Rhinolophus ferrumequinum: one gene and its partners. The protein of the gene in region 2 purifies or fractionates together with the protein of the main gene of each other region. This does not show direct contact. Links are inferred from orthologs where the notes say so. Each region holds a gene or a part of one and is shown on either strand. Other genes may lie near its edges. The genes, in order: ATRIP, RPA2, HLTF and CDK7.

Region 1 (8,301 bases), on a different chromosome or scaffold from region 2:
TTTTTAATGAGGACTTCTTCTTCCATTGCCTTCATCTGTAAATCCCAAATCAATCTTGTGAAAAGTTTGTAAGGGAAAATTATATATGTACTTGTTTCAACATGTACCTGGAGAGATGGAAAAAGCCCATGTAAAACACGTCCTACAGACCAGTGAGTGCTCAAAATATATCCATACCAGCCAGTCATCACCGTGGTCTGCTAGGCTCCTTCGTGGGACAGCAGTTATTCAGCAAGACAGCTTAATGACACACTTGTCACTCATGCAAGCAGGTTCTGTAGGCTTTATAGGTCTTAAATAATCTGGGTCACACACTTTACAGAACTAAAATTCCACATTATGCTCCTGGTTTACCCAGTGACCCAGTTTGGTTATATGAAGGATGTCTGCTTTTTTGCAAAACTGCTAATGCATAGCAACCATTATGACGCTGTATCCTTTATATAAGAAATATGCTATAAATTTATCTTGGTGCTAAAACAGAAAGTTTGTATCTCTTTTTGGAACTGGTGTACAGTGTTTCCTTTCCTGCCTTGGCTGTTAGTAATCTCAGGATTTAGTTTCTTTCCGCCTCAATTTTCTGGCTTTCTTTCCCCAGCCTCCCCCTCCTCCCATTTCATGGGGATGAATCTGGACTCTAGTTTTAAAAGTTTTATATATTTTATTGTACAATGTATGCATAAGTGAATGAATTAGTTATAAAAACCACAAGTTAAGTCACTTACCTTTTCTTTAAGTTCTTTGTATTGTGCTTGAAGTAACTCCAATTCAAAATTAGCTTTAACTGGAACACTTTCTCTGTTTTTCACTGCAGGATTTTTTGACATTCCATCTAATCTGGGAACCTTATAAACACCTATAAAAAAACGTTCCCACATACTTTTCAGGACCCAACATTTTCCCACTTTTACCAGACAATGCTGAAAAGAATCCCTCTTGAAGGCAAATTAGAGAAAGATGTAGTAAGCAATATAGGAACTTTTCTAATCTAAGAACATGATTCAAACTCATAAATGATCCTTATAAAATAATAGATCCTGCCACCCTCTCCCCATACCCCACCCAATTTTAAGAGTCTCATCTAAAGGCTGAAAGGCACTGTGGGAATCTCCCTAGTCAGAACTCAGCGATTTACATTCAGCAATATTTACTGAGCACCTGTAATATGCCAGGCATGATTTAGTCTCTAAAGGTACAATGGTGAGCAAAATGGATTATCTTTTTGCTTGTGGAGCTTACAGGACATTAAAAAAATAATCACGCATGTATAAATGTAAAATTACAACTGTGATGAGAACTGCAGAGAACAAATACAGGAAAGCCTATGATAGGGGAATTTGATCCAACTGAATGATTGGAAGGCTAAGGAAGTGATGATGATTGAACCAAAAGCTGAAGAACAAGTAGGAATTAACCAGATGAGTGGGGATGGGGAATAGATGGAAAGAACACTCAATATACAAGAAACAGCAATGTGCAAAGCTTCTGTATTATAAAGAAGCAGGGAGAATTCAAGGAACGAAAGGTCAGGGTGGCTAAAACCCAGAGAGAAAGAGGGGAAGTGACAGACTATGCTGGGCCTTGCAGGCCACATAAGGGTTTTGATCTTTATACTAGAAACCATGGGAAGTCATTAAAGGGCTTTCAGTAGGGATGCTCATGCTTATCTGTGTGAGACACACTGATCTTTTCAAAACAAATCACTCTGGCTGTGGTGGGAAGTCTGATTTGTAGGGACTCAAGACTGGACCTGGGAAGACAATTTAGCAGACTATTGTCCAGGGGAGGGGTGATGGTAACAGATCAGGGAGATGGTAGAGACGATGCAAAGAGAATGGATTCCAAGATAGATTAAGAAAGTAAAGTTAGAGGGTTTGGAAAGGAATTCGACGTATAGTCAAGGAAAGGGAGCTGTCGCCTTGTGCCACTTGATGGGGAGTGGTGCTAGTCAGTGTCATGTGAAACATTTGGTCATCAACGGGTGTTTTCTGAATGTCTGCTTTTCCAGGCACCATGCTGGAGATGCTGGAGGATGAGTGGGTTTCCAGGAAACAATTGTGTGGAATTTAAGAAGCCTGTGAGACATCCAAGTACAGATGCAAGTTGCTCTCAAGAACTTTCTCTTTTTGTGAGCTCCACAAGATGTCACTCATTCTCCAACTAGAATGCAAGCTCCATGAAGGAAGGGACTTTAGTCTGTTGCTCATTGCTAAGTGTGCTGCCATTTTTAAGGTTTGGGCACCTGGTACAATTTATTGGTTGTATAAAATAATAAGTTTCTTTCCTCTCTTGCCTCTGCCAGACCCTCTTAAGCTCATGAGGCTCAAGAGGGACAGCGGTCTTCATTAGATCTAAAACCTTCCCAGACTGCCACAAGAATGGGTCTCCCTGCGAAGGTAGTGATGGTTCTGATGGTGGGAGTCCTAAGCAGGATCTCTGCTTAGAACTAAGAACCTGGTGACCCTAACTTCAAAAACTAAAGTAAAATGTTAACCTAACTTTCTATATTTCAAATCGGTTGTTTGACATTCCTGATCCATCTCTCCCCAAATCAGAACACAACCGCTGCTTAAATCAAGCTGTTCCTATATTTTTAAAAGGTGAAGAGGCGGTGTGGGTGCAAGACAGCGGTCGCCGTGGGGTTCCGAAGCCACAGCCCTCAAGGGTGTCTGGCAAAGTCTGCACCACCCTCGGGAAAGAGCCCTGGGCGCACTCACTGGACACGTCCCGAGCAGCGGACGGGCATTGGCTCAGGGCCTGTGACGCGAGGGTGTCGAGTTCCTCCAGGTCGTCCGCGGTGAAATCCCCGTGCGGACCGAACGGATCTTCGGGGTCCAGGGCTGCGGCCACGGGGAAGCCGCGGGCCCGCTTGCTCGGAGGATGCCCGGTGCTGGGCAGCGGGCCAGAGCTAGGTGTCGGGGGCCCGCTCCGCCTCCTGCTGCCCGGCGCGGCGGTTCCAGCCATGCCTGCTGCCGGCAAGTGTCTGAAGGGATCGAGCGCGGCCTGGTTGCCGCAAAGCCGAAGAACTGGACAAACTCCCGCGCGCCGCCGCTCGCCTCAGGCGCTGGGGCCACGCCCCCGTGTCCACGGGCCAATCAGCTGCCAGCTGGCGGGCGCGGAGCAATGACACACATCCGAGCGCGCCGCGGTGCTCCGCTGAGTACTTACCCTTCTCGGGCGCCTCGGGCCTCTCTGTACTCGCTGCTGGGACTCAGTAGGTCGGCTCCCGGAGCTCTGTGCGGCCTATCTAAGCTATAGCAGTGCGGGTTCCGGCTCACCAGCCCCACCGTGCGAGTGGCTGTGCGCCTCCTTCCCGGCATATCGTGGAGTACACGCCGGAGGAGTTCGCCATGGCATTCACACGTGCGCATGTGAATCGAGGCAGCCAGCCTTTAGGGGTTTGGTCTCTGTAACCTCGTTGTCCTCGGTCGGACCCACCCCTCACATACTCCAGGTTCTCTTGGGGAGAAGTCCGGGAGAGTGGGGTTGGCAGAAGAGTATGAATAGAACTGTTGTGAGCAGACATGTTTGAGAACAGTAGATGTTTTGAATGTGTGCATTTGAGGTAGGTGTGGGAAGAAAGTCTAAGGAAGGGTGATCCTGAAAAGGTGCCTGTGTAACTCCTCAGTCCGTTAACGTTATTCATTCATTTGTCTGAGAGCACTTGAGTGTTTTACCCAAGTGCTGGTAACATAGAAATGAATGAGGTTCATGTCAAGGAAGGCCCTTGGGCTGTCCTACAGGTTGAGTGGGAGTTATCAGAGTGAGCAAGGAGGCTGGCCCACAAGACTAGGCAGACAAGCATACAATACCAAAATGGAGGCCATACAAGTGCCCGTTAGGCGTTATCTATGGCAGAGAACTTAAGGCTTCAGAGGAGCAAAGATTCAAAGTGGGCTTGAGTGCCTGGCAAGATTTTATTGGGCAGCAGTGGTGTGCAGGACAGTTAACGGGAACAGGGTGTTGGAGAGTAACCGGCAAGACTTTCATCCTTTCATGCTCAATGCCAAACAGCCTGTGAATGTCCTATGAATATTTGTGAAAGCAGTAAGTGAAAAGGAGATGGTTGTCAGCATCCAGAGGGTCTTGAATATCTGAGTTTAGATGTTTTTTAAAAAATTATTTCAGTTGCCGTTGACATTCAATGTAATTTTAATTTCAGGTGTACTGAGTTATTTAAAGTAATTGCTAGTTACCTTCAGATAGTTTCCCAAATATCGAATCCTTAAGTCTTAATTGCTGCAGGTGTCTGGTCCTGTAGAGATAGGACTGCACTTGATTTGTCAGGAGACTTTAGGTTTCACTCTCAGGGGCAGTGTGCTGGCTCCCAAGGTTGTTCTCAGTAGCACAGGGCTGGGTGCCAGCTGGCAAGGTCCCACAGGGAATGCATCAAGTCCAAAGATGCTGCTGGCTGTGCCACTTTCCAGGAGAGGACCAAAGCAGGCTTTTGCTCTTTTTCCCCCATTAATATCAAGTACATTAGTCTTAAAACAGGCTTCAATCTGTCAAAACCTTTTCCAGTTTTGACTTAGCAAAATCTGAGTAATTCTAGAGTCCTTTTTAAGAACATTCTCAAAGAAAGCTTAGCACTACCGTTTCCCCGAAAATAAGACCTAGCCGGACAATCAGCTCTAATACGTCTTTTGGAGCAAAAATTAAGACCCGGTCTTATTTTACTATAAGTAATTATATATAAGACCTGGTCTCATAGTAAAATAAGACCAGGTCTTATATTAATTTTTGCTCCAAAAAGATGCATTATTGCTGATTGTCCGGCTAGGTCTTATTTTCGGGGCAACACGGTATTAGTATTATTCCCATAGTTGTATCAAGGGTTCTGGAGGGGAAATCCAAATATTTATGCCTCTGAATTGTTTCAATACATATGCATTTGGCACACATGAATGGCCTCTGTCATCTAGGAATTTACTCCTCCCAGAGTCAAGGGTGATAACAAATGTCAGGAGAGAAAAATGAAAACAGGGTAAGAGACACTGGGACTGCTCCTTTATAGTGGTCAGGGAAAAGCTCACTATTATGATGTTTCATTTTTCTAAAGGGAGGGAGGGACTTTCCAGTATCCAGAAGAGTGACAGGTATAAAGAGTTGGTGACAGCCCAATAAGGCAGGAGCTTGCTTGGAATGTAGGCCATTGCGGCTCAAGATGGATCAAGGGACACAATTGTAGATACCAAAGGGCAGGGAGTGGTGTTCAGGTCCCTTAGGACCTCACTGGTCATTGTAGGGACTCTGGCTTTTGCTCTAAGAAGTCATTGAAGAATTCTGAGCCAAGGAGAAAATGAAGTATAACTTCACTGTTTAGCAAGATCACTTTGGGTCTTGAGTGAAGGTTAGACTGTAGGGGAGCAAGGGTAGGAGCAGGAAGAGAAATTTGGGTGTGCCTGCAGTAATCCAGGTGAGAGATTTTAGGGTTACAATTGGGGGGGTATTGTAGTAAGTATGAAGGGATCAGATTTAATTTTCCTGATGAGTTGAATGTGGGGTATAAGACACAAGAACCTAGGAAGGATATTTCTGGAGTCCTAGTGGAAATGCAGACCTGGGGACTTCAGAGTAAGCTTGGTTCTTCAAGACTTTCAGGAATCTCCCTTCCCGTTTTCTTGCCTTTACAATGCATATCGTGTGGACTTGTCCTGCTCCCCTCCCACTATGGAGAAGTTTCTTGACAACAGTAACTGTTTGCTGGTACAAGCCCAGCCTGCAAACAGCAGACTCCTTACATGAACAGATGAACTACCCCATTAAAACAAATGGCAACGTGGACGTCTTAACAGAGAAAGATGGGTTTTCTTTCCAAAGGGCAAATTCTTCCACTAACCTTATGTAAAGCTCCGTCGGGTATACAACTACACAAAAACGACAGCCATTTCAAATTAGTTGGTTTAATTCCAGGCAGTACAGAATTCGGGATAGAACAAAGACTGAAGAACACATTTAGGATTCTGGGTTGGGTTTCCTCTGACCTCACAGCTAAGGTTGAAATGGCTGAGTGAGAAGAACTAAACAGATGAGCCACTGCATTATTATTATTATTTTTTACAAAAGTTTATTCTTAAATGTACAACAGACTCCAAAACAACACTTCATTCTAGCTACAGGTGGCAACAGGTCTTATGGCAGGGAATCCAAATGTTAAGACTGGAATGGAATTAAGGATCATCATTGCCCCAGGCACAAGGAACAGCTCACTTTTTGCCAGATTTCTTAATTCCACCTGTGGCTGCAAAGAAAAAAAAGTTTCAGCTAGGGAAAAATACAGTTCCTATGGTAGAAGCCCCAGGGCCTGATATGGAAGCCTTAAGCTCTCTACTGAGCTTTCTTTTTAACATAAGTATATACAGAGCTTTACCAATATTTTCTATTCTGGGCAAAAGTAGAATGAGGATGAGGCAGGGGCACAAGAAATGGCTGCACACTGGTCTGGATCTGCACTGTGTTGTGTACTTCAGACTGGCTTATTTAATCCTCATCCCCTATCGACCCATTTTACAGATAATGAAGTCTTAGTGTTAAGGTGTTCAGTCATAAACTGGTATGTGATGAAGCCAGGATTCCAGCCTGGGTAGTCTGACTTCCAAGTCCATATTCTTAACTGCGACATCACACCACAGTACCTTCCATATTATGTTTCTGGAGTCTGGTTTACTCAATACCTTTATTTCACCCAATTTACAAATGACTATATAATTTGGCACACAGTAGGTAACTGAAAAAATAGTTGTAGAATTAAGTATGCCTAATAGAGGAATGAAGATCCTAAAGGGCTGTGACGAAATAAACCTTAAAAAAAAAATCAGATGACGTTCAGTGGAAACAAGTCGTATAGGATTTCACTGAGGACTGACCTCCTATACACAACCGGGAAAGTGCAAGATACCTCAGCACATCATTCCAGAACGGAATCTCAATTGCTAGAATTCCCAGGGCCGTGTGGATAAATAATGAATCAAACCCACTGAGAAAAGAGGTCTTGGGAAGCCCTGGATGACACTCCCATCACCCCAGCCTCCATCATCCCCCCTTGTAGCTCACAGTGATTCAATAGGGGATACATAACTGGGGGGGACTAATCACTAGTTTGATGAATGTGAACAGCATTTACAAAACACAGAAAACACCGGGACTAATGGGCTTGAAAAATCTTTTGGTATGTAATCAATTTCTCTTACATAAAGGAAAAGAAGAGGCGGAACGGTGGGGTATGAAGTTTAAAAAAAGCATATAGCATAATAGCTTGCCAAGAAACCTGGACATTTTAGTCTAGGCGCATCCAGAAAAGACTCAAGATGCAAAAGTATTCACTAGCGTTAACAATAGTAGTTAAAAAGCAATGAAATATGACTTTGGGGCAAGAAATTGTGGAGGATATTTGGAAACCCAACTGTATGAAATATGCCTAAGATATATGAGTTTCTGAGTTTCCATTTCTGCCTTTTCCCCAAGGAAGGGAAGCCCAGACTGCCTGGGCGGCAGACTTCGTTTCCAGACCCGGTCTAGCTCCCGTCCCTTGCCGCTGCGGCGAATCCAAGCCTGGCCACGGCCATCAGCGGCGACGGACACCAAGAACGGAGACCTGGCCACTCACCAACCAGGCCGGAAACGGACCTCCCCGGGCCGCGTCCACAGCTGCTCAGAACATTCGTAGGGCCTGGGCTCTGCCTAGCCCTCACTTACCCAGGGGGCCCTTCCCCGCGGCCTTCGCTTTTAACTCCTCGAGTTTCTTCTGCTCCTCTTTTTGCTTCTGCTTGAATGCCTTCTCATCCTAGGGAGAAGCAGAGCGGGTTCACTCCAGGCGGGCTTCCCAGCCCCTCCGCGCCCGCCCACGCCTCCGCGCCGCCCTTACCTCGTCCATCTCCTTGGCCTGCTTCTTGGGCTGCTTCAGGGGCTTCTTCTTGCCACCTATGGGCGACATGATCACGCTCAGCCCGGCCCCCACCGGGTCCCGTCACTTCGCCCGGCCACCCCCTCACACTCACCTTCGCGGCCGGACATGGCGCCTGCCGCCCCTTCCCCAGACCCTGCCACCGGAAGCGGAGCTCCGGGTCCCTCCCCTGAACCTACACCTCCACGCGGGCCAGCTGATTGGCTCCTAGTCAGGAAGCTGGGCTCGCGCTGCCGGAAGTGGCCCTCTGGAGGAGGGCGCTAAAGTCTCAGAGATCAATTGAGTGGCGGGGGCTCGGTTGGGGCTGCAGCTCCGGCGCTAGGCTGGCCAGGTACGGGGTGAGGGTTAGGGAGTCGTCCTGCCAGGGGAGGCTCCGGAAGCCAGGAGGGGTGCTCAAC
Region 2 (7,476 bases):
GATACTAAAATAATTCTATCAGTATTAACCAATTCATAATTATTACTAGAAAAATAAAATCAGTACAATATAAAGCTGAAAATTGCTACTCCACCCAGTAAAATTCTTAGACAAAAAACAATTTGGAAAACCACATTTTACATATAACACTGAAAACTGCAAAAAAATCCCCTGAATCAAATTGTACTTGATAGAAATAATGAGGATCCATAAAACTACAGTGGCAGATGTGAAAAATCAGTAAAAATTAGTATGGATAAAATTTGGGTGATGAATTAAACCCTCATTGTATAGTTTGCCCAGGAAAAGATTGATCTACATAAAGATGATTTCAGCAAAATTTAAAATGGGAAAAATTAGAAATGGCTAACTCTCACTGTACAAAAAAATTGAATAGGGAATCCAATATAAATGAAATTTCATCAATGTTGGGACAGTTCTGATTAAAATGTGTGTGTTTATAAAGTGGAGGCAAATTGACCTTGGAGGTTAAAATGGCAGTCAAAAACTTTGGGAGATAATGTATATTAAGCTTTTAGAAGAGATAATGCATTCTGGCATGTATTAAGTAAACACCAAAGTGGTTAAAAAATTTTTTTCATTGTGTTAAAATACAAATAATATTTTACCGTTTTAACCATTTTTAAGTGTACAGTTCAATGGCATTAGCTACATTCATGTTGTTGGGCAACCATGACCACTATCTGTCTCCAGAACGGTCCTTCCCAAACAGAAACTCTGTGTCCATTAAACAATAACTCCCTATTCTTCCCTCTCTCCAGCATCTGGCAACCGTTGTTCTACGCTGTTCTACTTTCTGTCCCTGTAAACTTGACTTTTTTTTTTTTTTAAGATTTTTATTGGGGAAGGGGAACAGGACTTTATTGGGGAACAGTGTATACTTCCAGGCCTGTTTTCCAAGTCAAGTTGTTGTCCTTTCAATCTTAGTTGTGGAGGGTGCCATTCAGCTTCAAGTTGTTGTCCTTTCAGTCTTAGTTGTGGAGGACGCAGCTCAGCTCCAGGTCCAGTTGCCGCTGCTAGTTGCAGGGGGCACAGCCCACCATCCCTTGCAGGAGTTGAACCCGCAACCTTGTGGTTGAGAGGATGCGCTCCAACCAACTGAGCCATCCAGGAGCTCAGCGGCAGCTCAGCTCAAGGTGCCGTGTTCAATCTTAGTTGCAGGGGGCGCTGCCCACCATCCCTTGAGGGAGTCGAGGAATCAAACTGGCAACCTTGTGGTTGAGAGCCCACTGGCCCATGTGGGTATCGAACCGGCAGCCTTCCGAGTTAGGAGCATGGAGCTCTAACCGCCTGAGCCACCGGGCCGGCCCTAAATTTGACTATTTTAAGGTACCTCATATAAATGGAATCATATAATATTTGTCCTCTTATGACTGGCTTATTTCATTTGCATATCTTCAAGGTTTATCTATATTGTAGCATGTATTAGAATTTCCTTCTTTTTTAAGGCTGAATAATTCCATTGTATGTCCATCCCACATTTTGTTTATCCATTCATGTGTCAATGGATACTTGGGTTGCTTCCACCTTTTGTCTAATTCTGCCATGAACATGGGTGTATAAGCGTCTATTTTGAATAAAGCTGCCATGAACGTGGGTATACAAGCATCTATTTTGAGTCCCTGTTTCCATCTTTGGGATATATGCTGCTGGATCATATGGTGATTCTATTTCTATTGTTTGAGGAATTGCCATACTGTTTTCCATAGTCGCTGCACCATTTTACATTCTAACAGTGCACAGGGTTCCAATTTCTCCACATCCTCACCAATATTTGCTGTTATCTATTTTTTTAAAAAGCAAAAGTATCTTTATTCAATAAAGATCTACTCCAAAAGCAGAGCAGAGGTGGCCTCCGAGCAAGAGACAACCTGGTGTTTTCTATTTCTATGTAATTATGGCCATCCTAATGGGTGTGTGTCACCAGATTGGTTTTTTGGTTTTCTTTTTGTTTTTAACAGGACTTTATTGGGGAACAGTGTGTACTTCCAGGACTTTTCCAAGTCAATTTGTTGTCCTTTCAATCTTAGTTGTGGAGGGCCCAGTTCAGCTGCATCCAGTTGCTGTTGTTAGTTGCAGGGGGGCGCAGCCCACCATCCCTTGTGGGAGTCGAACTGGCAACCTTGTGATTGAGAGCCTGCACCCCAACCGAGCTATCTGGCCACCTGGGAGCGGAGCGGCAGCTCATTGACTTCATTCTAGTTGCGAAGGGCACAGCTTGCTGGCCCCTGTGGGAATCGAACCGGCAGCCCCATTGCCCAGAGCTCATGCTCTAACCAACTGAGCCACCCGTCCGCCCCACCAGATTGTTTTTAAAGGATGATTTCTCCATTTCTCAGTCTTGCTGTGGATTTCCCTGATTGTAGCCTACCTAAAGAGGGAAATGGAAGACTTCTTGGAAATTGCTATGTGACAGGAAGCTTGCAACTTGACAAAACTAAACCTTGAGAGATGAATTCACTAACACACACACACACAAACACACACACGAGTTTTTTATTTTATTTTTATTTTATTTTTATATTTTTATTATATAAAAATTATATATTATATATAATATAATATATAATTTATTATATATTTATATTTAATTTTTATTTTATTTTTATTTTAGCACTGATTGAGAACTGAGCCCTCAATTTATCAGTTTTTCAAGCTCTTGAAAAGATGTGCAAAACTCTTTGATGGTTTGTATTCTGTTATACTTTAAGACATTTTAATTTCATTTTATTTTTAAATGTATGGTCTTCACAGTTGAAGTTGAAGTTATAACTGGTTAAACCCCAAATAAGGCCAATTGACTCAAGTGAATACACATCTTGAATGTCCCAGAATAATCTTAATTTCAAACATTTTATCCTATATATCATAAATATGCCCTTACTTGTCAGAGTATGTAAGTTTCAATCACCTTAGGCTTAATATAAGAATGTCTTTTTGGTATACCTCAGGTTTTATTCCTCAGCAATGATTTGGAGGCTTACAGAATTTACAAAGTAACATCTGGCCCACAGATATCTTTTCTTTGGCCTACATAATGTTTTTTTAATAGTTGATTTGTTTAAAAACACTTATTTGTTTAAAAACACAGAAAATTTTACACAAAAATTCAAATTTCTGACATCTGCTAAAACAAATAGATGATCTGGCAACACTAGATCCATAGTCTTTATGTCAGTTGCTATTTACCATTATGCTTGTGTGGTTATTTTTCTTACTGTGGAGAAAAAAAAGTTTTTTAAATTGTCGTCTATTATCCAACCCACTACATTAGCAGTTTTCCTGCCTGACCCCAGTTGTCATCTGAGTTTGTTTAGGATGTTCAAAAAGGTATAATAACGACACTGGTTGACAAAATCAGACTTCCTGGGCTTGAATGCAGGCTCCCAAAACTTAGACTTTCTATACCTCAGTTTCCTTAACTGTAAAATGGGGACAATACACTAACCTACTTCACAGGACTGAATTAATAAATATAAAATGCTTAAGACAGTGACTGAAGTTTTAATAAATAAAAAATAAAACAGTCCAGAAGCCCAGGGACCCGGTCTACCTTAACCATTGGCCAGTACAGAGCTTAGAACAAAAGAGACATCAAATAATTTTAAATAAATGAGAAGAGTATGTCTAACACCCTATTAGTATTTACAGCAAGGAACTAACAGACATGTTCTACTCTCCATAGGAGGAGCACAACCGCATTATATGAAGAATAGTTGAAGCAACCCAGGATGCGGAGCTAGATTAGAGTCAGGACAGGTGGGATGAACCCAGTCCTCAGTTTTTGAAAGGCCATCGTGGGGAAAAGAATGTAGATTTCTTATACCTTCACTGGGAAGAATCAGGGCCACGGGGTGGCAATACAAGAAGAGAACTTGACTCTTTACGTTAAAGAATAAGCAATCCCACGAGGTGCTGCGAAACTACGTAGTACTGTGAATTACCCGTGTGCGCAAATCCCGGGCGACCGCCAGGCGGAGACATCGAACCAGGAATTGTACTATGACGTTTTAGACCAAGGCGTCTTGAAAATTTGGCGGGAAACCCCCGAATAAAGTGACGTAAGATGCCGCTTATTGATGGGGGTGGGATTATATGGTCCTGAGATGAGGAAGTATTGTTGGATTGGTTGTTTTTTTGAGATACTGCCTCATCAGCATCCAAGGATCCTTGCTTCCGCTTGCGCGAAGTGTTTTGCCCTTAGTCAACATGGCCGTGAAGGCTTCTGGCCCTACTGGGAGCGTAGTGCCTGTATTCAGTAACATGGCCAGCGAAGAACGGAAAAAGCGTAATATTAGCGAGCTTTGATTGGCTGAAGCAAGAAGACTTCTGGACACTGATTGGCTCCGTCATTCGCGGGAAGGTGTCTGTGGCGCCAGCGAAAAGTAGATACAGCGCTGGGGCCGCAGTAAGATTCTGAGGCGTCCGGCGAAGCCAGCCGACCTGAGCTTTCTGGGCCTTTTTCGAAGAAATTGTGACCATGATGTGGAATAGTAATGATGAGTGGGGCGGAGGATGAGAATCGCAACAATTTAGCAAAGAGGGCTGGGGGGTCGGAGAGGCATGTGGCGGCGGGAGGGAGGAGAGTTGGGGGAGGTGCTGGAGCCAGAGGTGGGGCCGTTTGGGGGCCTGGGAAAGGTGGTCGGGAAGATTAGGAAGATGCTGGGACTGTTTGGGGTGCGGGGATTGAGGTCTCAGGGGACCCGTGGGTTTTTCAGGAGCTTGGAAAGCAGCCCAGATACTAATACTACTGTTATTTAAAACCAGGTGGATATGAAAGCTATGGCAGCTCTACCTTTGGGGGAGCCGGCGGCTACACACAGTCCGCTGGGGGCTTTGGATCGCCGACACCTTCTCAGGCAGAAAAGAAATCAGTAAGTTGAAAGAGTATTTTATTTTATCTGTCCTAAAGCTCATAACTCATCCATGGGAGAACATTTCTGCGGCGAAGGAAGGGTATTAAACCTGAGCTGATCCGATAATTATCTATTACTATCTTATCGAGTCTTATAATTAAATGCTGTAAGTTTGAAATAGGAATCTCCCCTAATGTTGCATCCGCTATTGTTTCCTTGGCTTTATTTTGAAATTTTACCAAGATAGCTAATGAATCAGTTTTGTAGAAAAACTGAACTTGTATTAATAGCCTAATTTATGTTCTATGTTTTCCAAAGTCGTTTTTTAATTAAACGTAGTGAGGTGATTTAATGTGGTGGAAAGAGCATGGTCTTTGAAGTCAAGTCATATATAGATCTATGCTCTCTACCACTACTTGCAGGGTATCATTGGACAAATTTCTTAACTTTCTTGGAAGTCAGTTTTGCACCTACTACATGGGATTGATAATACATGCTTTACAAGGTTGTTGCGAGACTTAATATTATATATAAAGTGCTTGCCCCAAGTCCCTTTCAATAAATGGTCCTAGGTACTATTTGTGACCAAGATGTGGAATAGTAATGATGCCTGGGGTGGAGGATGAGAATCGCAACAATTTAGCAAAGAAAGCTGGGGGGGGTCAGAGTTGGGGGAGGTGCCAGAGCCAGAGGTGAACCTGAGCATTGGAGCCAGAATACATAATGTCAGGAATCACCTTTGCCTTTTAACTGGCAATGTGAGTTTAGTGTAGCAACATGAACCCTTGGTTTTGTTGGTCCTTGGGTTTTTTTCATCTGATAATGGTACTAGTATTACTTATGTCACAGGGTGGTTCTGAGAATTGATAAATAAGCTAATGTATAAGAAAGTATTCTGTAAAAAGCTGTCCAAATGCTTGTTATTTACTCTCCCCCCCCCTTTCTTCCGCCTCCCCACACGCACACACTCCGGTTCAAGCCGTAGTTTTCTAGTTCTAGTTGTGAAGGACACAGCTCCCTGGCCCATGCTGGTATTATGAGCCTGGCGCTCCCCGGGCTGAGCCACTCACAGCAGCTCTCGTTGGCCACCAGTCACTCACTCTGGCTGCTGGTCACTCATGCTGGCCACTGGCTGCTCATGGCAGCACACAGTAGCTCACAGCAGCTTACACCCACCTCTGGCTGCTCACAGCAGCCCAGCTGCAGGGAGAGCTGTCTCCAGGGAGAGCTGTTGTTCACAATCTTAGCTGTAGAGGGCGCAGCTCACTGGCCCATGTAGGAATTAAACTGGTGATCTTGGTGTTTGGAGCAGGGCACTCCAACCACCTGAGCCACCAGGACGGTCCTATTTACTCTTTCAGAAAAGAGTTTGCAATTAACAACTGTTGATTTCATTCTTTAAATACAGGATTAATTTGGCTTCTCTTTAGGTGTCATTCTGATGTGTTAAGATTCAGTATTAGCAGGTTCTGTGTTTTGTGTACAGGTTGATAAGCTTTTACATAAACTGTTAATTCAGGGGTAGGTATAGTTGGGAAAGAATCCACTGATAATTCTCATACATTTGGATATTGCTTTATACTTTTCATATAAATTATTTCATATAACCCAATAAGGTATTGTTTCCTCCATTGTACAACAGAGAGGCTCAGGGAGATTGAGATTCCCTAAGCTTACATAGTAAGTAACTGGAACCAGACAGTGCCCACAGGGCGCTGAGCAAATCCAAAATCTGGTAAGCAGCTGCTTCTCTGTTGTAGCTTTCTTTTTCCTGGGAAGACCAGAGGAGACTATAGTCTTCTTTGAGGCTGTGAAGATGAGAACAGAAGATAGATAATTCTCATCTTTTTTCCCTAAGCTTCACTATTTTTCTTCATTCCATTTGTTAGAATTTTTATCTCAGGACCCCTAGCTTGGGCTATGTACTAAGACAGCTTTTCAGAGAATGATGACAGTTATAAGCTGGAGACTCAAACTCAGGTCTTTCTGTGTTTAAAATCTAGTGCTTTTTGCACAGTAAAAGATAAATGTCCTATTTAAATGTTTCCTACTGACTATAAACCTGTTATATTTGATTGAATTCTGAAGTTTCTGATGTTTTACCTGTAAAAATGGTAGGTTCCTACAGTACTTCAGAGTACAGTACTTCACAGTAGTAGTTCATAGGCAGCTACAAAATAATTTTTTAAAAATTAAATGTAACTTGTGCCGAATCTCTTTGGAACAAACCAGGAGCTCTTTTCAATCGGTTCCTGGCACATAATAGGTGCTCATTTAAAAAAAAACAAATAACTGTAACTTGAGATGAATTTGAAGGTATTACTGACACCTCAATAATTACCCATATGTAACTTTTTTACCTGAGGAGTAATAATATTTTTTGCACCTGTGTAGAGATTGGTATTAGCACTTTTATGTATATGTTTCATTTATAACTTGAAAGGTAGATATCCTCATTTTACAGAGGAGGTAGGTGATGGTATGTCCTGGGCCGTGAAGCTGGGATTTGAACACAGGTCTATAGTACTGTCTGGCTCCAAAGCCCATGTCTTGCTGCTGTTACCATCATGGTTCTTAGCTTTCTTATGCTGAAGATACA
Region 3 (8,472 bases), on a different chromosome or scaffold from region 2:
AGAAGAAAAACTTGTATTACAGTCAACACTAAGACATACCTTAGTGAAACTATTGGACTTCCAATATAAGGAAAAATATCTTTTAGTTATCCAGGTAAAAAAACTGCAATTCATTTATATAGAAAATAAATCATATTGCCATCAGAATTCCACCAGCAACACTTTATGCAACATCAAGATATCATGACAGAAAATATGGGTCAAGGATCTTATATTCAGCCAAACATCACAAGTATAAACACCCCAAGTTTATACTCAAGTATAAACATCACAACTACGAATATACAAAATGTCAGGAAATATTGTTCCTTCCTAAAGAATCTCCTAAACAACACATTTCAACACCTTTCCAATCACAAAATGATCATAGAAGCTCCGAAATAAAAAATATATATACATAGAAGAATGAAAGTATAGACAAATCCAGATCATGGAATTCTTTCCCAAAGAATCTCCTGCAGAACATGCTTCGGACAACCAAAAAATGATTTGAGTAACTTCAACATAAGTAAATATGAGGGAATAAAAGAAGTGGCATATCTAGAACCTTCCACAGAACAGATGTAGTTTCTTCCACAAATCGACATGAAACAAAGGGAGGGTGGGATTGACTTACGAGCCATAACAATCAAAGATAATATATGAACTTTATTTTGATTCAGATTTGAAAAAAGGAACTATAAAAATACATTTTTAAATAATCAAGAAAATTGATTATGGGTTAGTTATTAGATGTAATAAGAAATTACTATTAATTTTGTTAAGTATGAAAATGACATGTAAGAAAATGAATTTTTTGAGATGCATACTGAATTATGAGTATAAAGTGACACAGTTGGGATTTTTAGTACAAAAGTAAAAAAGTGATGAAACAAATGTGCACAAGATTTGTTAACTGCTGAATCTGAATCATGGGTATATTTAGTTCATTGTATTATTCTACTTTTATGCATGTTTGATATTCTTCATAATCAATTTAAAAAGTAAAACTAAGGGTATATCATCTAGATAACAGAGGTAGACTAGACAACCATAATAAAGACAACTACTAGCAGAAAAAATCATATATTCTCTAGCTCTGTCTGTCCATCTCTCTCATGTAGACACAATGCAGAGACTAGAGATAAGGATAGACACAGTAAGAAAAACTGGGATACAAACAGTCTTACTTCAAAGAAAAAAGACCTAAAATTAGACAATTCCCTTATCTAATAGGAGTTGACATTCCTAACTTAAAAATATTAAAGTGTAGAAATGTGCTGAGGGGCAGAACAGGAGAAAGCAATGGACTGACTTGGCAGTCATTTTGCTAATGTACAACACAGTATCTGTGCTTTTTGGGAAAGTTATTTATCCTTCCTGAGCTTCAGTTCTTCAGTTATAGGAATGGGATAATGTCCTATCTACCTCAGAGTCAATGTAGTGATCAAATGAGACCACATGGAAAAAACTGCTTTGTATATTGTAAGTGTGTATAAATGTAAAAGAATATTAGTCATTAGATATTTGTTATCTCTGCCCAGATATATTTCAATTACTTCGAGTAAAAAAATTAACTGCACATATATCACCTAATTCTTATTTTCTAGGTTAATACCATAAATACACCACATTTTAACTATCTAATGTTATACTCACTACTCCTGTGTAATAGCGTAGTCCAACTACATGACCTCTCAAAGTTCCAAATAAAATTGAGTCTAGCTCTTCATCACTAGTTAGGAAGTCGTCTGGAGGGATAATATCTTGGAATTCAAAACGGGGAAAGAAAGTTGGATATGAGAGGCGTGGAAAATTTCCCTGGACTCCGTACTGGACAGTCTGCAAGTACTTCCAAACAGGATCTCTATCAAAACAAACAAACAATAAAAAAATGTAACCAAGTATTTCTCAAAGACCGTACCATATTTATAGGCTAATTGTTTTCTCACACTTTATTTCAACAAATTAAATCTTATGTGGGAACTGCTGTATAAGATTAATAGAGAGTTACTCTGGTTAAAGCAGGGATTGGAGGGAGGGAGAGGAGGAGGGAAGAAGGGAGTTTTCCGGGAATCCTACCTGTTCAGCAATGCCTCTTCTACCCACGGGTATTCAAAATGAAAACCCCAATAAGTGTTCACAATCTCTTTCCTAGTGATCATCTATTTAAATGGAAATGAATATGATGTTCGTAACATTAATTATATGCCAAAATGTCAATAACTGAGCTAGAAGAGACTTACACATACAGAACTATTATCATATGTGAAGCCATTTCCATCCTTACAGATAATACATCCAACATCCATTACTTTAATTCCTTCCGAAGACAACCCTTATTTTATTCAGGTATTCAAACCATGCCATCATGGAAGGTTGACTCCAACCTTCCCACTCCGGTAGGTTTAAGGGTAATCACAATCCCTTTATGGATAATTGTTTCAGGAACGGGCATGTGAAACAATTTGGATACTGAAAAGTAAGGGGTAGTCCCACTGCGGGGGGGTGTCTAGGAAGTTTCTCCTAAGAACAGATAGAAGGTATTTCCCTTGCGTCTTCCTTGTATGTCGAGCATACATACCTCTTCTGGCTCCTCTGCAAATATATATTTGCACGTCTGTGCATGCACATAAACAGCACTACTTGGGGACAAGGGATGTCTTACTCGGCCCTTTATTCGGAGCACAATGCCTAGTGCACAGTGGGTATCTACTAGGTGTCTCGTGGAATAAGCACAAGTCAAGATGCCTAAGGAGTGGAGCTTTGCGCCCCAAGCCCTTCTCCCCACCCCCAGCCCTTGACAGAGATTTCTCTAAGGCCCTAGCACCCGACTCGCCTGAGGATTCTCCCCATGCCAACCAAGATTATGCCTTTATTTCTCCCGCGGACATATGAGCCACCACCAAAACGAATACAAGCTGCACAAATCGCACGGGGAACGAGAAAGGTACGCAGGGAAGGTCAGGTTCATCTGGGGACGCCTCCAGGCCATTACCCGTTGCGCCCCACCCCCTCCACCCACATCACCTCTTGAACATCCAGGACATGGCGCTGCGTGGGTGACAAGGAGAACGCTTGGGCGTCCGGGATCGTTCTCGAGCCGCCTTGATACGTCTCCTTCCAGGGCCTGCAGCGGAGAAGCCAGAGACACCTTGGGAGCGCGGGTGGAAGAGAGCGCTGCTGGAAGGTAAGACACCGCGAGTCTAGTCAGACGTCGACGCCGTCTCCTTCTAGCAACAATCTGAGAGCTCACTGACGCTTTCTGACTGGCACTGGGAACGTTCAATCACGAGGAGGGGCCTGTGAACACGAACCAATCAGGGCACGGAAGGGAGGGCAACTCCGCCCCGCGCAGCGATTCAAAGACTATGGGCTGGGTCCCGGCTGCTGGGGCGGGTCCATCCGGGTTCTTCCCCGCCCCCAAGGCGGGCGCGCGGGAAAGCCACGCGGCCCTAGCAACCTCACTGCGGTGCCGGTGGTATCGGATTGATTCTCTGTCTCAAAAGAGGAAGATGACTCTCCTTTCCGCTGTTTCCCTCAAGCCCTAAGCCTCAGACCCATTCTTCAGGCCCTATCTCGTCCTACCTCTAATTTTCTTCTTATCTGATATTACATGTAATAGGGTCTTCCACTGAATAAACTCTGCCATTCACGAACCTTGGAGGTACCAGCCACATACTTTCACTTCCTGTGCTTAACCCCGTGTAGTTTGCCTTCAAAATATTCATTTTAAACCCCGCTGATGAATCTATGAGACACACCGAGTTCATAAGCGCTTAATTAGAATTTAGACTTACGGAGTACCCCCTCCATCTCTTTTTTTTTTAAGGAAAATATTCGTTTCTAGTAGAGAAAAGCCACAAAATGCGATGACAGCGCGACTGACTTTGTTGGTGACGGGGCGGGACCAGCTTCCCCTGAGGCATGTGGCTGCCCCACCGAGGTGGGCAGAAGCTTGTTTTCCTGGGGAACTGTAGGGGCGCCCTGAGGCGCTTGGGGTCCGCCTTTTGAGAGTCTGAGGTGACTCAGGAGAACTGGGCTTTGGGTGGGTTGGCAGGGCCTGTCTCTGAGCCTTCGTAGCCAAGCAGAGGCTGCTGCTGACTCACCAGGCCTTACACTGGTGCAGCAGCAGCACCAGCCTTGGAAGCTGGTGGTGGCGGTGGCGTGGAACTGCACTTAGGGCTTGGGGTCACTGGCAAAAGAGAATTGCAGAATCAGAGAGGAAATGTATTTGTGAAAGTGATCATTTTGTCACTTGCCTTTCATAGAGGGGTCCAATTTACACTTCTGTCAGAGTATGAGCGGTGGTCTATAAAACAGGTTTTCAAGAGGCATTTGTTCATTATCTTAAACTGGCATGATCTGTAAACATGAACCAGCAGTGGAATGAGAAATCACATTTGCAGCAATTTATTCATTTCGTTAAACAGAAGGAAGATGAAGACAGTGATATTTCAAATTATTTTAATTATTTTACTTTCCTCTGGAAGTATTAATGAGGCAAAGGACAATATAGTTCAATGTTTTGTGTGCCAGATTCCAAATAAGTTCTTGGAAAATATGCCAGAAAATACCCAGATTGAAAATGTTTTGTGTGTAAAATTAATAAAGCCAGGCTAATTAGACTGAAAGATAAAATTCCAAATGTGAAAATACATGCAAACCTCTTTCAAGACTTCAGACCTATGTCCCACTATTAAACAATTAAAAATGTCCCATTATTAAAGAATAAAGGTTGAATGACATAAAAATTTGCTATTTAAAGTCAACATTTTTGTCCATCTTGTCACTATTTTACATCTCAAACATAGCTGTTGAACACTCCTTTTCACATAATCATTTATTTTTTTAGATTGAAGTACAATTTGTAATAGTTTGATTAAAATGTTATAACAGTTACAAATTCCAAACTATCACACTAGATAACATTTGTAACAAAAAAAGAATGGGAACTGTGTGTGGCTTGTGCATTGGCTGATGTTTAAGGACTTGGAGAACGGCACCAAGAGAATGGTGAGGAAGATAATCGCCAGATTACATCGAAATGTATGGTCTATGGTAGAGTTTGTATTTTATTTTAAATGCAGCAGAAAGCCATTGACTATTTTAAGCAGGAGAATGACAATCTGAATTAGACTTTTGAAAACTCACTCTGGTAGCTCTGTGGAGAATGGATTATAGGGAACAAAAACAGAAACAGAAAGACCGCTTAGTTGATAATTAGGAAATGATTGTGTCCAGGTAAGAGATGATGGTGGCTTGGAATGGAGAGGTGATAAAACTAAGAGAGCCAATAGGATCTACTGATGGAATTGTATATGGGTGCTGACTATGGGGAAGGTATAAAAAAATTCCTCTAGCTACCCACCTCCCAGTTCCAAATACTCTTTCTCATCCTCCCCTATTTTATACAAATTAATCATGTTACTCCCCTATTTTATGCTGTGAACATGAAATTTTAAAATGGTATATGTGACTCTTTATAATCTGTCCCCTACCTCCCACTCCTATCACTTCACAATCCACCCTGCCTATAATGGCCTCCACTAATGTCTCTAAAAATTATGAATATTTTCATATATAACCATAAGGCCATTTTCACACCTAACAAAATTAATAATAAATTAATCTTTGGTGTCTTCTAATAGCTAGTTCATAATTAAATTTTCACAGTTGTCTCAAAAAATATTCTTTTATAGTTTGTTAACAAAATAGAATGTTGAAGTCCTTGGCAAATAAAAAAAAAAAAAACCACCTAAGAACCTGAATTTCTGAAAGTGTGACTTCAATACAAAAACTTCCAAGTTTATGTCCTAAATCATAGATTCTAGAAGAATATATGATGCTATAAGGTCGTTTGTTTGGTTGCTTCCTTCACCCAAAAGGAGACAGAGACAAAGTTCAATGGAGGAGAATTTTCACAAAGTAAATCTCTACGTGGATCTTAGGAAAAGAGACTGGAATGCCAACACCTTGGGCTGAGTGCCCCAAAGGAGGGATGATAAACAGACAGCCTAGCAAAGTTTCTGGAGATCTCTTAAGAAAAGAGAACTGTGCCTCGTTTTTCAGGGAGTATCCTCAAAATTCTGCAGATCTTAGAGAGACCCTCAGAGTCCAGAAACGTGCTAGGGCAGTAAAGGAATAAAGGACAGTGTGGTGACTGTATTAAGGGATCCAAGGGTAGCCTTTCAAAATCCTACAAAAGTCCCCAGAGAGTCTCCAGCTCTGTGAAAGCTGGAGGCTTTCATAATTCATAGTTCTAGTGAAGGGAGGTTCTAGAAGGGAGGTTGGTACCCTGAGATGAACAGAGTCCAAATATAAGCCCCCTAAAGGGTAAGAAAAAAGGGACTGAATTTGAAACCCGAATTTAATTGACTTTAAATCTTAAAATGGTGGGATATAGAACCAAAATCAACAAAGGAACATAACAAACAAACAGAAATAAAAACTCATATAGACACAGACAACAGTTTAGTGGTTAATAAATATGGAAGGGTAAGGGTGGGTGGTAGAAGAGAGAAAAGGGGGTCAAATATATGTTGATGTAAGGAGAACTGACTCTGGGTGTTGAACACACGATGCAACATATAGATGATGTATTATAAAAATGTACACTTCAAACCTATATAATTTTACTAACCAATGTCACCCCCAATAAATAAAATAAATAAATAAATAAAAATAAAAATAAAGCTTAAAATGAGTGAACTACCTGGAAAGTGATTATATTAAGTTACCTCCCACTAGGCAAACTGAAGCCTTAAGACAAATTAGGTTCAATAAAGAAATATAAAGTTTTATCTTTGCAAATGGAATTGGTGATTGAAATTAATACATGCTATACCTCCATATACACATATATCTGAATTTACACCTAGATATTTATAGCAGATATTTTTAGCTAGCCAAATTAGGGGATTTTCATTTTCTTCTTTTTGCTTATATGCACGTAAAATGTTCTCTACATTGAACAGTTTTGCATTTTGCTGTAAGAAAATAGTAGAAGATAAAATAAATTATAGTAAAGAAATGATGTTTTCCAATTTTCTGTTTTCAATTAATTTTAGACTTATAGAAAAGTTGCAAATGTAGTTTGCAAAAATTTCCCTCATTTTTTTTATCCCATTTATTTTAACACCATACATAATCATAGTACAATTACCAAACTTAGGAAATTAACATTGGTATGATATTATTTCTGAACCATTTTTAAAAATAATCAAAGAAGACAAGGCAAAGGACATGACAGAAAATAAAATCTTTTGTGACTTATTTACAATTGGATTTTCTTACACTTAATCAGGGGCAGATTCCTGGATACAACCACAGCTGATAGGACAAAGGAAGTAATGTAAAATAAATGCCAAATAAAATTCTTCTTAAATAACGTAATGACTATCAGTGCCTGGTTTGTAGTAAGCAATCAATAAATGTTGTTATCATTCCTATTATTGTTGTAACAGTTAGTATCTAATGAGTCTTCTAACACTATACAAGGAATACAGTTGATTGAGGCTCATTTCCTGGTGCTCATCAACAGGGTTACTCCTAAATACCAGAATAACATTGTTTCCAGAAGCTAGTCATTTTCCCAGGTACATGTCCTTGAAACAAACTGAATTGTTTCAACTCCCACTCTGAGAATTCTGTGGTGTTCCAGATTACACAGGCCTTTCCCAGGAGATAGTCCTTTCTTCCTCCTTTAGTCCTTGGCTCACTAAGTGTTCCTCCCATGTGGCAGAAGACCAGAGTTGCTGAAGCATCTGCCCCTTCCTTTGCTTCCTGCCGAGGAGCCGTTTCCCAGCTGCAGGAAAGTGTTTCTCTGGGCCATGGAATTATTTACGGTTCTTGACATGACTGTGGTCAAGGCTCTTTTTGTTTTAATAAATATGAATGGATTGGTGAATATTTTTCTGCCTCCTTTATGGCTAGAAAATTTAAAGGCAAAATTGCAACTCTATACTTTTGATACTATCAGAACTACTATTTCTTTTTTTTTTTCATGTGGGTAGCTATATTGTATTGGCAATTCAGTTTTTAGTCATCACAACTTACGAAACCATTGCAGCCTATAAGCATACCCATGCTAACCTTAAAATTAAGGTTTAACTTACCATTTCAAATAGTCCTCTAGAAAGTTTTTTTAAAAAAAAAACTGCAAAAAACCAAACACATTTCTCAAATTTGAAGGAAAAAAAAAGCATACAAATAGATTTTTAGAGGAATTTAATCTCTTGATCTAATAGAAGTTTCAAGAGACTTAAATTCATAAACAGATTGAAGTTTTAGGATCAGAACATAATATCCTGCTTGAATTGCTAATTTTATAATATTTGCAAATAAAATTTCCATTTCTCAAATACTTTGGGATAAGATATTAGATCAAAGAGAAGTAAGATTAGATGTACCCCCAAATGAACATGACAGCAATGATGACCTAGGTCAGCAAGCTAAAGGCAACACAGCTGGCTGTAAATATTCAGAAAATGG
Region 4 (7,902 bases), on a different chromosome or scaffold from region 2:
AGTTGTAAGAGTTGAAAGTGATTGCTCTGAAGAGTGAAAACTAGGGGTAGGAGTCAGGCATGTTAAAAAGCCTTGCCCTACTAATTGCCTTTTCAAACCAAAAAGATGTATTATTTGAAATAAAAATTAAACGTAAAAGGCGATTGCACTATTGTTATCGAACAGAAAAAGCTGGCTCTGCTAGCATCAGGTGGACAAAACACTAAACACAGAGAACTGCAGTGGAGAAAGACTGGCTATTTTATTATGAATGGCACCACCCAGGAGATTAGGAAGCTAATGCTCAAAAACCCTGATGGTGTGCAGGTTACAGACTATATAGGGCAAAATCACAAGACACTGGGTTAGGGGTTCAGAGTCATGTTGAAAGCTGACTGGTAAGAGGTGAGGTAAGGTAAGAAATCATTTCTTCAAGTCTTGAGGACAGCTCTGATGTCTCTCTGCTTCCTCATTATATATATGCTCTGGCATCTCTGTCTAGTTTCACAGAAAAGTAGCCAGGGGGTTGTTCCAAACCTTTAGGGCTCTCAGAAGCTGAAACATAACTTAAGTCGATATTATCTTTAACTCAACAGAAACCCATACCTTGTGATTTTTAGTCAAGGTATGCCTACTATTTCTGGCTGCCTCAGGGGGTTAATGACTAGTAAGGGAAAGGGCTACGGCTTACAGGACATGCTATGAAGAAACCGAATAGAGTGCCGGGGCTACATATTAAATCAAAACCATACATTCAATCAGGAATCTTGGGTTTCACTGAGTCACCTTCAAGGAGTAAAAGTCTAGTCCAGAGAAACAGGATGGATTCTATCCTAATTTATGTTTAAAGCAAGCAAGCAAGCAAACAAAACCCACTAGGACTTTGAGACAACTGGTAAAACTCAATATGCCAACAGTTTGAAAAGATTATATCCTTCAGTGAAGTCAATACATTTCTAATGAGTGTCTACAAATGTACTAGCCATAGTTCTAAAGATAATTCGAATGGAAGTAAACAAACAATAAATGTATAAATAAGAGGATTTCAGATTTTGATAAATGCTATGAAGATAGAGAAATATGGCAAAGAACCCTAGGGAAGGATGGAGGCATGCCTCTTTTAGCTAGAGTGAGCAGCAAAAGCTTCTAGGTGGAGGAGATATTTGAGTGAAATCTAAATAAGGAATCAGCCATGCCAAGTTTTAGAGGAAAAATGTATTAGCCAGAAGGCAGAGCAAATGCAATGATCCTGGAATTGGAATGAATTTAAAGTGTTCAAGAAACAAAAAGGTCAGTTGGCTAGAATACAGCCTACCGGGAATAGAACTGAAAAGATAACTTTAGAAAGGGTTGGGAGATTTAAAAAAGAGAGAAATAAAAACTGTGGGGAGAATTAAGGGTTTTACAAAGGAGTAGCTATAGTGCTGGGTTACAGAACATAAAATGGAAAACGAGGTAAGTCAGGAAAAGTAAAGAAGATGATAATGGCAGGAATAATTGTGCCAAGGAAGAGAGGGTATTAGTGTTAAATGAATGAGGTAGATATGCTTCAAAGGAGTTAGGGATTTTGAAGAAGAAACAGATTCAAAGTAGCAACAGGAACAAAGTAGCAATACAAAGGTGGAAGTCCCCTACTTCACCAATAGGCCTTGAGATGTGAGAAAAACAGCCTTTCCTTGAGAGGGTTATTGATTTTTTTTTTTTTTTTTTTTTTAAGATTTTATTGGGGAAGGGGAACAGGACTTTATTGGGGAACATTGTGTACTTCCAGGACTTTCTCCAAGTCAAGTTATTGTCCTTTCAATCTTAGTTGTAGAGGGCGAAGTTCAGCACCAGGTCCAGTTGCTGTAGTTAGTTGCAGGGGGCAGAGACCACCATCCCCTGTGGGAGTCCAGCAGTTGAACTGGCAACCTTGTGGTTGAGAGCCCACTGGCCCATGTGGGAATCGAACCGGCAGCCTTTGGCTTTAGGAGCACAGAGTTCCAACCGCCTGAGCCACCGGGCTGGCCCGGGTTATTGATTTTTGTAGTATGGGAAAGGGCAATCAACCTGGCAGCAGGACTTAAATCCTAGCTTTAACAATTACTAACCATCTGTATCATCTTGAAAGTCACCTACCGTTTTTTCCCGAAAATAAGACCTTCAGCTCTAATGAGTCTTTGTGAGCAAAAATTAATATAAGACCCGGTATAAGACCGGGTATAATATAATACAATATAACATAATACTGGGTCTTACATTAATTTTTGCTCCAAAAGACGCGGTAGAGCTGATGGTCCGGCTAGGTCTTATTTTCGGGGAAACACAGTCCTCTCTCAGCCTCAGGTACCTGAAGTGTAAAACAGAGACATTTACTTTACCTATTTCCGCAAGGCTGTTTTGAGGGTTAAATGAAAAAATGTAGGTGAAAGTGCCTGGCACATAAAGTTAGCTAAATACGGCCTAAGTTTCTTGAATGAATGCAAATAAAAAAGCTACTTAAATCATTTTTAAAAATGCATGCACATCAATGTTGTTCATGTTGGTGAAAGCCTTTCATGATAAATCTGTACACAGAAAATACAGATATGACAGATACATAGAGTGGATGCAGGTGAGGCAGAAATAGGGAAGATCATGATATTAAATAGTTTGAGGACCCAGCAGATTGGCAGTACTCATCCCCTTTGCCAAAGACTGAGTCGAATAAAGCAAACATAACATACTGTTTCCTTTTCATTTCAATTAATAGAAAAGAATAGTTCAATTCGAGCTCCATTTTGGAACACAGGACACTAATAAATTATTCTTCCTATGAAAATGACATAAGTAATTCATTAGTAGAACATGGTCAAGATTAGTAAAACGGCCATCCACCAGCGCACACATCTACTTCTTAAGAGACTCAAATAAAAAAAACCAAACCCTGTAACTCACTTTCTTAATGGCGACTATTTGGTTGGTGTTCTTGTCTCTGGCCTTGTAAACCGTGGCAAACTGGAGAAAAAAGAGAAATAACGTAAGTTTGTGGCAATTTTTCGTGTTTGCCTTTTTACTTTAGATTTTGGGAAGCAAAGAACCCAGGGTTCTTGCAGCGGACTTTCGGCGGCTTGAAACGTACAGGCAGTTGTTCTGTCCACGTCCCGTTCCTCTCTATCATTCAGAAAGGAGAAGGCCGCTCAGGGCTCATCTCCAGGGTATGGAGGGGCAACAGCTGCCTCTGGGCAGCCTTGGCCAAAGAGAACGAGTAGCCAGGCCAGAGAAAACCTGTGAAGGTGTGAGGCGGCTCCGTGGTCTCCGCTCAGCACCGCCGAGTCCCCGATAGCCTCACCTGGCCCTCCCCGAGGAAGTCCAATTTTTCGTAACGCTTTGCTCGCGACTTCACGTCCACAGCCATCTGTCACGCGAATCCCGACTCCAGCTGAAAAGGGCGAGCGCCCAAAACAGCAGGAATTTAAAGCTACCTTAAAGCCTCCAACAGTCACTTCCGTTCACTAGGCTCCGACGCTTTGTTAGCTCCGCCCCCACTTCCGGGATAGGCGTGGCTGCTATTAAATAAGTCCCGCCCGAGCCCACCCAATGGAAGGCAGGGATCGTTGGCTTTTCCGCGCCGCTCCCCGCCCTGTCACGTGATCGCCCGTTGGTACCGGAAGTGGGGAGTTTTCGATGGTGGTTAACCTGTGTCACTTTTTTACCGTTTTAACTTATGTATTTTCTTCACTACCGGGGACCGGTCAGCGTTCTATGATGTTCTGAGTTCGGGATTTGATAGGTATGTATGAGTATGATAGGGTTGGTCCACCTGATTTCTCTGTCTGGTTCACGCTAAAGGGTTCTGTCGCACCGTTACTATGGACGCCTAGCCCGGCAATCTCAGGTTACTTAGAGCGCGCCCAGTTGTTAAGAGCTGCTCAAGAGGCATTCTTACTTAGTCTAGTCTCTTAGTCTAGTCTCTTTATGAAAAAGCACGCCTAGGCAAACAAAATCCAAGTCAACTTTAGAGTTTTGTGCTGTGGAACAGACTTCTGGTCATCAGTTTTTTACTCTGTAACGTGGAAATAATAATAGACCACATACATCATAGGCTGTTGTGAGGCTTAAATGAGACATGCAGAGTTTGGATATATAGTAAGTGCTTATTAAGTGTTAACAGTGATCAGTTCTCAAATTTTGATTCTCATAAGATTTGCATCCAAATCAAACACAATTCATTTATTCAGTATTTATTGATTGCTTACTATGTGCCACTTTGTTGTATACTGAGAAATCAGCAGGAAAAAAGAGATTCCTGCATTCAAACAAGAGTACATAACAAATAAGTAAAATGTTATGATCATAGCGATACGTGCTATAGAGATAATAAAGCAGGGGAAGAGAAGATACTAGGGTTTGCAGTTTTAAATAGGGTGAGCCAAGGAAGACATCACTGAAAAGCCACTGCAGAATTTTGAGCAAATGATATATGATATCATGTTTTAAAATGTTAACTCTGGCTGTTGTGAGAGACTGACTATACCATAGACTTGGGGGTAGGGGGGAGGCGAGGAAAAGCAAGAAAGCCACTTAAAGAATTATGGCAGTAATCAAGAGGGTTTTATTAGGGGGTACCAGTTTTGGCTTCTAGCCAATAGGATTTGCTGACAGACTGGATATGGGTTGGGGAGTTGGAAAGCATAATTCCAAGGTTTTGTGCTAGACCATTTGATGTTTGAGTCGAGATCCTGATTTTCAGAGGTATGTTGAAGAAGGCAAAAACAATACCAAGGCTCATAATTTAGTCAAGGTAATATAGTGTGAAGGTTGAGTCCTTGCTCTGGATCTAGATGATCTCCATTGACTACTGACCCAAGTATTAGATTTATGACTTGGGATAATTACACTTTGTCCCCAGCTTCCTTCTCGAATAGGACCTACTCATTGGGTTGCTGCAAGGCTTAAATGACTTCACACTTCAAAAACCCTTAGAAAAATGTCTGACAGTGCTCAATTTATGTTAGCTATTACATAATTATTCGTGGTTACCTTCCAGCTTTGTCACTACTTGGGTCTTTATCGAGCTCTGATATATTCACAAGCAAAATTCTTCTACATTGCAGAAAACACATTTTTACCACTTCTATCATAATTGTGGCAAGTCATACTTAACGATACATGTCTGACTTAGGCTAAAGTTCCTTCTGAAAGAGCACTGTAATAACTTAACCTCACTTGTAGTAGAAATAAGCTAAATAGTGAGCTAAATTTGATGGTACACCTGTGAGGCTTGAGGTTCCCAAGTGTGCCACGGCATATAAATTCATAATCACTATATTATACCATGCTGGTGAGAAGTAAATTCCTATATGGGGATACTTAAAATAGGGTAACAAAGGTGTTTAGGTGATTTTCTGGGTTCATTAAGTCATTGTACATATAAAATACCATTCAGCATCTGTATAGCATTTTAGTTTACAAAGCAATTTCACACACTGGTCGTAGCCAGCTTCCACGATGGCTGCAATTATTCTTGCTTTCTGGTATTAATGCACTTGTTTCCTCCCACAATTAAAGAGTCTAAGTGTGACCAATAGAATATGGCAGAAGTGAGTGTGTCTAACTTCTGAGTCTAGATCATAAAAGGCCTTGCTGCTTCTGCCTTGTACACTTAGATGATTTGCTTTGGGGGAAGTGAGCCATCATGTTATACATTCACCCAGGCAGCCCTATGGAGAGGCCTCCTGCCATAAACTAGCATCAGCTTGGCAGCCATGTTAGTGAGCCACCTGGGAGGTAGATCACCCAGCCCCAGTCAAGCCTACACATAAGTGCAGCCCCAGACAGCATCTGATTGCAACCTCACGAGACATACTGAGCAGAGGTGCCCAGCCAACCTGCCCAAGAATTCCTGATCCAGAGAAACCATAAGGTATTGTTGTCTTTAGCCACTGAGTTTTGGGTGATGTATTACAAAGTCATAGACAATATACTAATTTGATCCTATCTGTCACACACTGTATAGCACTGGAGAGGAAAACCTAAACTTGGACAAACAAAGCCATTTGTTAATGATTACGTACATTTAAGTGCTTAACCCAAAAATGAAAATACAGCCTACTTACTCTAAGCCAAGCCACAATTCTATGACACCATCCTCCTTGGGAGCTCATTCTGTGACAGCAATTTCCACTGGCATGCCCTTTTGCCATACCTAGACTTACAAATTCTGTAAAAATGATACATTTTTTCATTGTGAGTTTCATGGCAGCAGCTATAGTAAAGGTAGACCTCAGAAAGTTCCAGTATTGGGGTTTCTAAATGCTGGTCCACAGTATTACTCAAGCCACTATCACTTGAACCCACTGTTTCTGAAAGCAAAAAAATTGCTCTGGGCTTCCTTTTACTGAAATGCAAGAGCTAAGGAAAGGAAAGACTAGTGCTAGTTTTTAAGAAAATTTTCTAAATAAAATTTTTGAATAATAAAAATAAATCATGAATCACGTATTTTTCATGACTCACCAGAACAGCTTATTCCTAGCACCAATCCCCTATCTTATATTTGAGTAGGGCAACATTTATACTAGGTCACAAGAGAAGCAGACCAACTCTGAAATAGTAAAAAAAAGTAAAGATTAACCCAGACGCAAATGGGCAAAGTACTCAAAATGGGCAAAATAGACTCAGTAATTCTACTTGTCTATTGCTCATGAGCTACCCTAATTATTAGGGATGACTTCTTTAAAGCATATTCTAGAAATCATTAAAGGTATAGAAGAGAATTTATTTAGCTTTTTGAGGCTTTTCTTTCACAATAATATATGCCGTTGGCACAGGAAGACCCTTTTAAAGTTTCATAAATTGCCGTAACAAGGCTAACTAGTTAGGTTGATTTTATGAGACTTTCAGACAACAGGTTTGAGAAAGTTAATGGTTATCAGGATTTTCATACATGATCATAATCAAAACAGTACAATAAACTAAAGAACAAGACTTCTTAACACCCCTAAAACAATAAATTGCAATTTTCAGTCAAACATTTATTCCTATGCTATTTTCACTTTGATCTCTTATTTTCCATTTTATACTCTGACATGAATATAGGTTACAAATAATCTTTTGTGTTAACTTCCCAGTCTTAATACCACAAGGTCACTGGTTTTACCTTGGCTATATTTTTATCATTTAGAGTAGGATATGCTTACTAAAAGCCAGTTATACTCCAGTAACTTTGTGAACGAAAAAATGTTAAGAATTAAGAACAAATAATGGAGTCATTATTTCACTGATCCTCATGTAATTTCAGGAAAATCACTTTTCAAAAGCAGCAATTCTGCCTGATAAATTCTTTCCATGTCTAAACAGAAACTGAAAGAAAATGAAATTATGCTAAACCTATGATAGTTTACTAGACATTGTGTGCTTTTAATAGTTCAACAACTGGTAATACTTGATAATCAAGAGTAAATTAATAGGTTAATATTTAAAAATGTGTACTTTAATAAGTATAAAGTATATAAACAATTAGGTAAGCTTGTGGAGAAGCTGACCAACATACATAAATTAGGAGATACAAGTGTCTATCTAAATTTTCTATATTTCTTTTTTTTCTTTTACAGAATATTTATTAAAGTTGTTTAATGTACAATTTCTCATTTGTCATTTTGGAAATCCTTTATTGTAAAGACTATTCTTTTGTCTGATGACAAACAGCAGCCACATTGTCAGTGATTATTCTGGACCTCCACGCTGAAAGGAAAAACAATAAAACAGTAAGATTAGGGGTTAAATTTACAGAAGAAATGTTTTCATGGCCACTATACAAATTTACATTATTTTAAGCAAATGATTTTTAGTTTTTAAAAACAATTTTGGATTTTTTCATTGCTTTTGTGCACTCACATCAATGTTATAAACAATTTCAGATCTGGAAGGGACTCACGGTTGACCTAGATCAGTGGTCCTCAAATT

The links.
Region 1: the proteins of RPA2 (region 2) and ATRIP purify together in Homo sapiens (affinity purification with western blotting; 5 studies listed by BioGRID, with this or other methods). This does not show direct contact. The link is inferred for Rhinolophus ferrumequinum from reciprocal best matches to the Homo sapiens genes RPA2 and ATRIP.
Region 3: the proteins of RPA2 (region 2) and HLTF purify together in Homo sapiens (affinity purification with mass spectrometry, with the first as the bait; 3 studies listed by BioGRID). This does not show direct contact. The link is inferred for Rhinolophus ferrumequinum from reciprocal best matches to the Homo sapiens genes RPA2 and HLTF.
Region 4: the proteins of RPA2 (region 2) and CDK7 purify together in Homo sapiens (affinity purification with mass spectrometry; 3 studies listed by BioGRID and IntAct, with this or other methods). This does not show direct contact. The link is inferred for Rhinolophus ferrumequinum from reciprocal best matches to the Homo sapiens genes RPA2 and CDK7.

What each region holds. Positions count from the first base shown.
Region 1 is NC_046300.1:7,639,731-7,648,031, forward strand, and holds the start of ATRIP (ATR-interacting protein), read right to left. Parts: upstream 3,075-8,301; 5' UTR 2,965-3,074; coding exon 2,718-2,964; intron 857-2,717; coding exon 726-856; intron 108-725; coding exon 1-107. UniProt on the Homo sapiens protein: Required for checkpoint signaling after DNA damage. Required for ATR expression, possibly by stabilizing the protein.
Region 2 is NC_046292.1:19,147,924-19,155,399, reverse strand, and holds the start of RPA2 (replication protein A 32 kDa subunit), read left to right. Parts: upstream 1-4,294; 5' UTR 4,295-4,501; coding exon 4,502-4,520; intron 4,521-4,785; coding exon 4,786-4,895; intron 4,896-7,476. UniProt on the Homo sapiens protein: As part of the heterotrimeric replication protein A complex (RPA/RP-A), binds and stabilizes single-stranded DNA intermediates that form during DNA replication or upon DNA stress.
Region 3 is NC_046285.1:8,263,999-8,272,470, forward strand, and holds the start of HLTF (helicase-like transcription factor), read right to left. Parts: upstream 3,223-8,472; 5' UTR 3,030-3,222; coding exon 3,010-3,029; intron 1,847-3,009; coding exon 1,639-1,846; intron 1-1,638. UniProt on the Homo sapiens protein: Has both helicase and E3 ubiquitin ligase activities. Possesses intrinsic ATP-dependent nucleosome-remodeling activity; This activity may be required for transcriptional activation or repression of specific target promoters.
Region 4 is NC_046290.1:44,754,654-44,762,555, reverse strand, and holds the start of CDK7 (cyclin-dependent kinase 7), read right to left. Parts: upstream 3,473-7,902; 5' UTR 3,356-3,472; coding exon 3,290-3,355; intron 3,238-3,289; exon of another isoform or gene 3,119-3,237; coding exon of another isoform or gene 3,080-3,118; intron 2,956-3,079; coding exon 2,896-2,955; intron 1-2,895. Other genes in the region: MRPS36 (alpha-ketoglutarate dehydrogenase component 4), read right to left, coding at 7,663-7,680. UniProt on the Homo sapiens protein: Serine/threonine kinase involved in cell cycle control and in RNA polymerase II-mediated RNA transcription. Cyclin-dependent kinases (CDKs) are activated by the binding to a cyclin and mediate the progression through the cell cycle.